2 linked regions of the Drosophila melanogaster genome follow. The main gene of each other region encodes a partner of the protein of the gene in region 2 in a complex. Each region holds a gene or a part of one and is shown on either strand. Other genes may lie near its edges.

What was found. The genes of interacting proteins can lie anywhere in the genome.
Region 1: the proteins of DIP-eta (region 2) and dpr1 are in contact, whole or in part, in a crystal structure (PDB 6NRW), measured with the Drosophila melanogaster proteins. Residues at the interface, in NP_001188701.2 of Drosophila melanogaster: Tyr72, Lys73, Val74, Ala75, Leu77, Arg78, Val79, Thr81, Gln82, Thr83, Ile84, Ile87, Ile92, Thr93, Lys94, Asn95, Met124, Gln126, Ile127, Asn128, Thr129, Asp130, Met132; in NP_001286645.1 of Drosophila melanogaster: Asp82, Lys83, Ser86, Ile88, Lys90, Asp92, Leu93, His94, Ile95, Ala98, Tyr103, Thr104, Ser105, Asp106, Glu136, Gln138, Asn140, Glu142, Lys144.

The regions. Positions count from the first base shown.
Region 1 is NT_033778.4:20,696,620-20,701,506, forward strand, and holds the start of dpr1 (defective proboscis extension response 1), read left to right. Parts: upstream 1-1,863; 5' UTR 1,864-2,566; coding exon 2,567-2,651; intron 2,652-4,887.
Region 2 is NT_033779.5:5,614,933-5,619,590, forward strand, and holds the start of DIP-eta (Dpr-interacting protein eta), read right to left. Parts: upstream 3,015-4,658; 5' UTR 2,723-3,014; intron 730-2,722; exon of another isoform or gene 298-729; intron 1-297.

The DNA.
Region 1 (4,887 bases), on a different chromosome or scaffold from region 2:
GATGATTTATTCTGCCATGAATAATAAATCTGTAAGATTTATTTTTAGCCAATGGACCACTAATTTTTTTTGTGTGCACAATTGCAACTTCGCGGTGACACGTGACCGCAAGGACATTTGTTGAGCCTGAATGTGCCGCATCGCACGTCTTAATAGATTTTTGATTTGTTTGCCCACCCTTCTTAGCTGGTAACTCAGACTTCCCCATTCCGAACCCGGATCCATATCCGAATTCGAATCCAAATCCAATTGTGAGGCGGGCGTGCGTCTCTGATTGGAATAATGATTTCGCTGAAGCAAAGATAGAACATAAACCGAGCCAGATTTGTTGTTTTTTTTTTTTTTGTGGGGAGTAACTTGTTTTTGTCAATATAGAAAATCAATAACTGTTTTCGCCGCTACCGTTCGGTTAAATCAGACGAGGGTAATTCAATTAAGAAATCACACAGGAGGCCAGGAATTAGTAAAAATGGAACGCTCAAGGCTCCGCGAAATGGAGGATTAAAAGCGAGTCCTGAAAGTTGGCCATTTCTTTATTTCTGTCTATGATGAACAATGGGATGGTATTTGGGCAACATTTTACAAATTGTTTCAATTAAAAAGTTTACTGACTTTGCTTTTTCGCCTTTTACTTTATCTATAAGCGGCTTGCGATTGACACGTGCCTCCATCGCCACGCCCCCCCGACTGAACGCCTCCTTCGGTTATCGAATGGTAGTAATCGCTTTTTGGGGCCGCTAATTGCGGCGACCTTGATTGGTTGGGTGGTATTTATAAGTCCGCAAGTTGATTGCATAATACTGGCAATGTTTGGGCAGTGGGCCATAAGTCGTAAGCTGGGAAAGCCAAAAGCTGGGCCAATCAATTAAAAATAATCAGGCGGAAAAAGTTCTGGCCAATCTGCACAAATATATGTATATATTTCACAGTCGCTAATTAATTTAATTGATTTAAACGCTTCGGCTTGACCAATAGCAAGGCGAGGGGTTTGGGGGGTGTTATCGAGTGCATTTGATCTGTTTGTTTGCACAAAATTAAATTGACTTGTAATTAAAAGTTTCGCAATTGATTGAAATTCTCGTGTGTGCTTTTCCTTTGTGCTTTTGGGTGGCTGCGATGAGTCCCAGTACTAAGAACGCTTCAGGGAAATTCGCAGCAAATAAACAAAAAATAAGAAAAAGAAAAAAAAAAAAACACTAAAAAGTGCTAATTAGGAGCATTAATTAAAAATGCATTTTTTGTTTGCCGCTCAATTGAACTGCAGAGAACGTGGAACTGTAACAGTTTTCATACACTGGACATTTTCTCTTTAGGCCTGCGGAGTATAAGAGCGGCAGTATAAGAGTATCCCTAACTGACCTATGGCAGGATATTTTTGCGCGGTTTTCTTATTGTTTAGCAGCTTAAATGGTAGTGGGCATAATTAAATATTATATTAAAAACAAGAAGCAAGTTTCATTTATTAAGAAGTAGAACAATTTATTTCCTTTTATGATTTCCCTACATTTTAAAAGCAGAATGGTAAAACTAAGTCCCTAGAAAGTGGAATACAATACTAATATGTTAAAAAAAAGGTTTTATGAGTCTTAATAATAATTAAATAATTAGTAAAGGCTGTAATATAATTATTCATAAGCATTTTATTACAGTTGCAATAGTGCTTTATTACCTGAGACATTATATTCGATATAAACAAAGTTGCTTGGTAATTTCGTGCTCCAATAAGCCGACTGAAGAGAGCGGCTCTGCAGTTTTAGTTCTCTTTGCTCTTACATGTGAACAATATATATGCGAACTTGCCCGAGTGCCGAAGTTAGCCGAAGTCGAGGCGTTCGCCATGTGCCCGAGCGCCGATTACCAGTCAGTTCCATCCTGTGACTCGAAGGCGAAGCACGCGTTTCTTGATTTATGTGCGCGGGTTGTAGTCCCAGTTAAATCCTGTTCAGATATATTCCTCAGTGTTGAGGGTTTCGAAAAAGTGGGCCTAATGAGTGCCCGGGCCTTCGTGTTAATGGCGAATTAATGACGGGGCGATTAAAATGCAATAGCCACATGCATGGGGCGCCGTAATGAGCTGAACCGAGCGACTGAGTACAGTGAAACACAGTGCCATAAATTAGAGGCGCCCACAAAGTGTAGCCTACTGCTTAGCGGCTTTTGGGCTTACGATCTGTTTGAAGTGTTCGTAGACCGTTAAAACCTTTCGCACGCCCACAAAAAAAAAAGTTCTTGTGTAAAGCTCATTTCGCAGCAGATTAACAAAAAAGAAAAAAAAAACAAAACCAGAAAAAAAGGTCAACTCTCAGTGAAAACGAACCAAAAACAGGGCCAAGCGGAGAAAGTACTTTCATTGCTCCCCAGGCAGAGCTTAACCGAGAGTTTTGCCGGGCTCTAATTTGACGGAATCGTTAGTTGACCAGTGACGTTCCACCACCCGGGTGCACCCCCACCACACCGGAATCCGTTTCGCCGGATCCGGATCGCGTGCCAACTACAAGCGTAATAACAATAAACTTGCGGATAACAACCGCAGATACACAGATACAGATACAGATACAGCAGCACAATGTCCCTGCCATCCAGAGCCAATATCGGATTACTCAACTGGCTCATCGGCTGGCTGCTGCTGCTGTCGATGGTTTTGCTCAGAGGTGAGTTGTGCGTCGGGCTTTTTAATTAAATAATCCAATTTATTTTCATTTAATTTCTAATTAAATTTAATTTGTTTGCGCCGCGCTTTGGCCCACCTAATTGCCCCCATGCTCACCATGCCCACCACGCCCATCACGCCCACCATGCCCGTTGTAACCCAAAGACTTTCCTTTGTCGCCTAGGATTTCCCGTCTAATTTCCGGAAAACGAGCGATTTTCGCTGGCCTGGAAAGCGGGCGAATGCGAATTGAAAATTCTTTAATTTTTGTGCTAAGAATTTTAATTCCGCTACAGAGTCGGCAAAAGTTTTCCCTTTTGTCCCTGGCGCAAGTCAAAAGGTGAAGCATTTAATGCCCATCTGTGTGTGACTCCCAAAAAGTGGAGAACCAACAAAATGAAACATTATACAGAGGGAAAAACGAGTGCTCCCCCCGCATCTTGGTTTTAGAATATTTTTGTTTTTAATGCATATATTATATATGTATTTATACGAACTCTTCATGTTTTTTTTTGGGTTAAGATGAGTTAACAAAGTCAGCTAAAGTATATTTCTGTTAAATTATATAATATTACAAAATGTTTTAATATTGGATTTTGGATTGAATTTAACAACACTTTTAGAATATTCTACTTAAACTTTGTTTGAAGTAAGAACTTGAAATACTCACATTGTTATTGTACAATATTTAGTTTTATAGATACAATCACATACAAAAGTAGTTAGAAAATGTTTTAAAGGCTAGTCTACTATCATCTGCATTTAAAACTATTATTTACAGAAAAGCATATATGCAACTAAGTACTCCGGCTATTTGATTTTCCGTGCATTCGTGACCCACTCCTGTCCAGAGTTTTGCAGTCCTAGTTTCGCAGCCCACAAGGTTGGTCCAGTGACCAACTGAAGGGCAGGAGGATGAATGGCGAATGGCCGCATAGTGCGAGTGCGAATGCCACATGCAACGTGTGGGCTGGGCAAACGGTTTTATATAATAGTTTGCAACAGTGGGGCACAAGTCTCACTTTCAATGCATCAAATGAGAAGCACGCGCTTGTGATGCGCCGCGCCACAGAGATAGAAATGTGGGAAAATAAAAAGTAAATATGAAAAATAACACATACTAACGAGCGGCAGACACTTGGAAAATGCTGTTGAAGCTTGGTCATGGCCAAAATGCTTCTGGCTGCAGTTGCACTTGATGTTGTTGCCGCTTGCGCAGCAGCAGCAGCAGCTGCGTTGCATGTGGCACGTTGCAGTTGACACACGAAACTATTGCCATTGGGCTTGGCTTGGCTTTTTGGTTTTTCAGTTTTGGGGTTTAGCCGCCTGTTTGCTGCTTTTAAGTTTGCACTTTTTAGCTTTCAGCGGCTAGCAATTTTCTACTTTCCGTTTTCAGCTCGTCGTTTGTCATCTCTGAAAACAGTAAATTGCATTTTTATACAATTTTCCATCATTTGACTTGGCAGTTGTTCGTCTGGGCTTTGTAATTTTCAAATGAAATACTTTCCGAATGCAATTCGCTTTTGCGCAAATTGTTTCCTTCGTCCTGCTTTCCTTTGACTTGGCTGCTTCTTTGCCTTCTACCCGCCTATCTTGTTAGCCCATTGGCATCTGTCTGGCCATTTCATTTGGCTAAAAGCTACTTGAAGTTGGTTAAGCGCAGACAAACAGACGAAATAACTCATCTTGGCAATTGCAGAACCTGCAAAAAGGCAAGCAATCAAAAAAGATTCCTATCGAATTACTGGGCAACCGATTTTCCAAGGATTTTCTTTGGTCTGGGTTTTATTTGTTCTCTCACAAAGGTGATGATTATTACTTGTAATGATATATTGGAATTAAAATTATTTAATACAAAGTTTTTGGGCATAAAGATGGTTTAAGTTGATTGCAAAAGGCTAACAAGTCAAAATCTAAAATGTAATTTTTCACTACTTTAGCATGGACAACTTTGACAATTAGCCATATTCACTTTTTAAGTACCAATATTTTATAGTTAAATTTGCATATTATTATGCAGATTATTTTTATTTTTATTATATATATATGCATATTGGAATTTTTTGAGGCAAATTTTCGGCCGGCTGTTTGATTCTTTTTCTCAAATTAATTGACAGGGAAAAACTCGACAAATGCATGCGCATATTTCCATAATGAATTCATAAAACTTTCGATCGTGTCCTTTCGCGAGCTCGTGTTATTTGGTTTGTTGGTTTATTAATAAATAAATTCTGCCC
Region 2 (4,658 bases):
GGTGCCTGCTGCCAGACGCAGATATCAATATGTTCGAAAGTCCGCCCTTATGATTGGGGAACCTTGATTAACTTTCCAGCTGACTCGGCCATGAGCCTGAACATGCAAACGATTTCGGGTTTTGGAAAAATAAAAGTCTACTTTCTGGCGGCCGCAAACTGACAGGAACCATTTTAAACTGACATTTCATTAAAATTCCTTGTCCCCTCCCTTCGAGTTCGTATTGATTTTTTCATAATTTAGCGGAATTGAAAGCAAAGTTGCCGGCATGTGTGCTATGTGTCCTTTGTCATACACACATACACACACACACCCATACACTCACACATTTAAATCCGCATTGCATGCCCAGAAAAGTAGACTACAAAAGACAACAGGCAAACGACAGCACTGCAAATGGTTACAGGGAGGGGGTGGCGGTTGGCCTGGAACGGCGGTAGGCACTAAAAATGTCTAGCAAATGGGCCTGGCAATATTATTAATAATTTAGAGCATGCGGGCCACGTCAGGAGTCGGACTCGGAGTCAGGGACAGGTGATGGCTTCAGGCTTCAGGCCCACGGCCTGACCACAATCCGAAGCCATATCGAGGCGATTGTGTCGAAAGTACCTTCCCGCTTCTGGTGGGCAGCTCTTGGATGTTTGGTGCCATTGGATATTGATGGCGATGTAGATCACTGATGTTTATTAATTATCACGAGTTAAAAGTTTTGCTTTTCTAAATTGGCACAACAGCCTACACTGACAAAATATCTTCATTCATTCAAGCATATATAATATATATTGTGTTTCACATTCTTCTGTAATTATATAAAATTGAAAATATTTTGTAATAAATAATGGAAAGTATTTAAACAAAGCGAAAATTCAATCGAGCAATGTGATGAATGCCTAAATTGACCACAAGCAATTTTCCAAGCAAATGTGTAATTTATTTCAATTTGGATGTTTCTAAATCCTTTTCCTGTACTTATTTTGTTACCAGCTTTAAGTACAACTTATGAAAAAGCAAAAAAAGAAAATATTTATGACAAATAATAAGAGGTGCTCATGGCACCTTTGTAGTGTTCAAGCCATATATTATTTTTATGGTTTCGGACATGCACGGTCCCTTTTTCTCCAACGCTTCAATGTGTATAATCAGCTGCTGAATTATGGCAAATTTTCAGTAACCCCCCCGACAGTTTGCTTGAAGCACCTTTTGCATTTTTCCCTTTAAAACAATAATGCTGACATGTAGAAGCTTCAACTGAAATGTCATTCGCTACTACTACCAGACTTCTCGAGCTATACTTTAAATTCAATTTCCAGCGCAAACATTAATTAACACGTGATAAATATCCCGCTCTATCGCGATGCCACTTCGACATTTTTCAGAATTATTCGCCGTCTAGCTTTTTAAATTTTTTTTAATCCGGCCCAGAAAAGGGCAGCCCAGTTAACCGGACCTTGCATAAAATTTGCATAACTCATAGTGTTCAGGCTGGCAGCGCCTTCTAGAAATCAGAGTTTCGCTCGGTTTTTCACAATTTTCTCCTCCGCTCGCTTTCCAGCACGGAAGTTGATTATTATCGCTTGTTATTAACAACAGCAACAACAATGGCAGGAAAAATCCAACTCCTCACATGCCGGCCATTATGTCAAGCCGACTGAACGACGAGGCCTTGCCAACCATTTCGTTATCGCTCCGGGGGCAATTGGAATTCTTCTTATGCAATTGATACCGGAGCAGGCGGGGGAATTCGGATTAAGGGGATTACGATTTCGCAGCAGAACAACAGGGTTTTCAATCTTGAGTCAACATGTTTTAATTTCCATAATATACATATATGTATACCACTCGGCCCCACCTGGAGCGTCAGTAGACAGTGCACATTCGGCTGTGGGCGCCAACTGAAATCACAATCGAGCAGATAACAACTGATCAGAAATTATATGTAAAATGCAAATGATAGAGAAACGCCATAAATCGAAAACAGGCACCATCATGCCACCCCGGGGGAAAACCACCGAATGTGGGTTGTACAGTGTACACTGTACACATATTATTTCCGGTTCGTCCCAAAAGCGCTGCAACATATTTGCAACAAATGGCTAGCCAGCTAGACAGCAAATTGGCATGAAGCGTCGAGGGTTTGTCCTGCGCTTTATGGATATCAATGAACTTTAAATTACACTCGGGCAGCCGTGAAACATAAAATATGCAATTGTTGCCCATGTGGCCTAAACAGTGCACTCCTGCCATACGGGGACACTCGTAATAAACAGCGTCGAGTGGCGCGCCAGACACATTCACATTTGTAGGCAAATTTCACGATACACACACACACACACACAGACACGCATGCAGCTGGAATGGCAAATCATGTGACGAGCATTGACCGCCGAGGGTGGCCCGATTGTTGTTGCTTCATAAATAACTCGGGCTTTGTTTTTACTTTAAATATAATTACAGCAAACACGCAGCTGACGGCAAATGTCGCCAAAATCGCGGCTAAATTGCCAACAAGCGGCTAAAAACGCGCGCGACTCAACACGCGAGCGAATTCTACTTGTTGTCGATTTGACCTGGCCGAAATCGCTGCCAAACTATTTTCGAATGCCTTCACTGGCCGCAATCACAGCCAGCGATTAGAAAAAGGATTCCTTGCTTTCTTTCAATAGTCTTGCATGCAGATTTTAATGGAAGTTCGCATTTAACTTAATAGCTGCAGCATAACAACCTTTTTCAGAGCATTTTCTTGGCAATCTTGTATTTTTCGTGAAACTCCAAATTGCACATGTCCTGCGGCTGAGCTGTCCTGATTTTTTTTTTTTTAAATCCTGTCGAGAAATTCGCTCAGCACAAGTCACTCATGGCGTCTACAGCATCACTTCGATTCACTTGCAGCACGAATGCAACACTTGGCGGCAAAAAACACACGCGATTCCGTTAGGGATTCTGCTTGCTTGTATGCAGCAGGATTCGAAGGACTAAAGGCCAACCGCACGAACCGAGCGCCGTCGATGTACTGAAGCCAGCATTTCCGAGGGCCACCAAAGTCGCGTGGAACGACTCCCAGCGACTGCCGAGCGATGCCGAAGATGCTCCTTTGGCGAATCGTCGTCGTTTTGGGGGGTTTTGGGGGGAGTGTGGGCGCCCCAGTGGGTGGGTGGTGTTTTTTAGTGGGCGCCCGGGGGGTGGGCAGCGGCCTCGCGAACGAATCAGACAACTGTGATTTTTGTTGTTGCTGGGCCACATTTTATTTTGCTTTTTGTTGGCGGGCGCTTTTCACTTCGTGGTGCTTCTTTTTTCCTAACATGCTCTGCGCGTGTGTGTGTGCGTGTGCTGCCCAATGGGGGGCGCGCTCTCGGCTCGGTTGAATACGAATTGAATGGCATTGAAAGCCTGGGAAATTCTCTCGCCATACTTTTGGGCGCGTGAAACTGGTGGCTCGCATTTATGAATGAAATCTGTGGCAAAGGAAAGGGTTAACCCTTTTTGGGTTGGGTGAAGGGATGGTGATGGTGAGAGGGGGTGCTGATAGTAAGTAACTGTGTGAGATGAAGAAATGAATTGTCATTGGTCGTGGCGCTTGAATATGAGAGAGGGAATTATCACTTGCAATTCTGACAACTGCAATAAGTACAACAGATTATTGCCATAGGAAAATACTATATATTTTGACTTGTAGGTAGAAGAAAATGGAATGGAAGCCATCTGCAAGATGATCTTTCGCTGTCTTCTATTTTGGATCTCTTTTACGGGATTCATTTAATATAAATCAATCATTATCAGAAAATTATGCTTTAAATTTAAGTATGTATTGATAAAAAACAATGTTTCAATGGTTCGCAAGAAATAGTTTCCATAAATTTAAAGACGTAACTAAGGCCAATCTTACATCTAACTGAAATCTGTTTGAAATTCTCAAACAAAAATTTTCTAACGATATAATTTGTAGTATATATGCAGAAACAAAGTTCTTTCCAACTAAGAATTGAAATAAAATTTTTAAAATTAAATTAGTGCTTTACTAGGCCGTCTTATTTATATAAAACGATATAACAAAGTCGTTCAGCATGAAATATTATTTAATAAAATTCGCCTGCATCGTTCCGAGTCAGTTTTGATTGTTATTAAATATATTAGTGCCCCCAATACTTTGAAATATGCAACTAAAAATTGACTGCGATCGATTCAAAAATGCTTCAAAGTCCGTTCGCTATGATACATTATTTAATTAAATTTCTTCTGCTTGGTGAAACTTTTCTTTGGAGATTTCCATTATGTGTGGCAAGTGCAACAAGCGAGGCAGGAAAGTCACCCACCCACACACGCACACCAGCCAGTCGCTTTTCAATAACCGTGCCACATTGTGTCAGGCACCGTTTTGACCTGGCCACCGCCCTCTGCAACTCTAAATTGCTCATATATACTTATATATATATATATATATTTCGGGAGCTAATCAACTCCCGCCCCCTTTCCCTATCGCGTCTTTATAACAGGCATATAATTTCGCACAACACACGCACACGACCAATAAATAATAGCGATGGAAACAGTAGAAACCCACCAATAACAGATTTTATGACGTATAAAAAGGATTTATAAAGCGTCCCTGGAAGGAACTATCTATCCCGCTCCATTTCTCCATCGAAAACTTTTCATTGCGT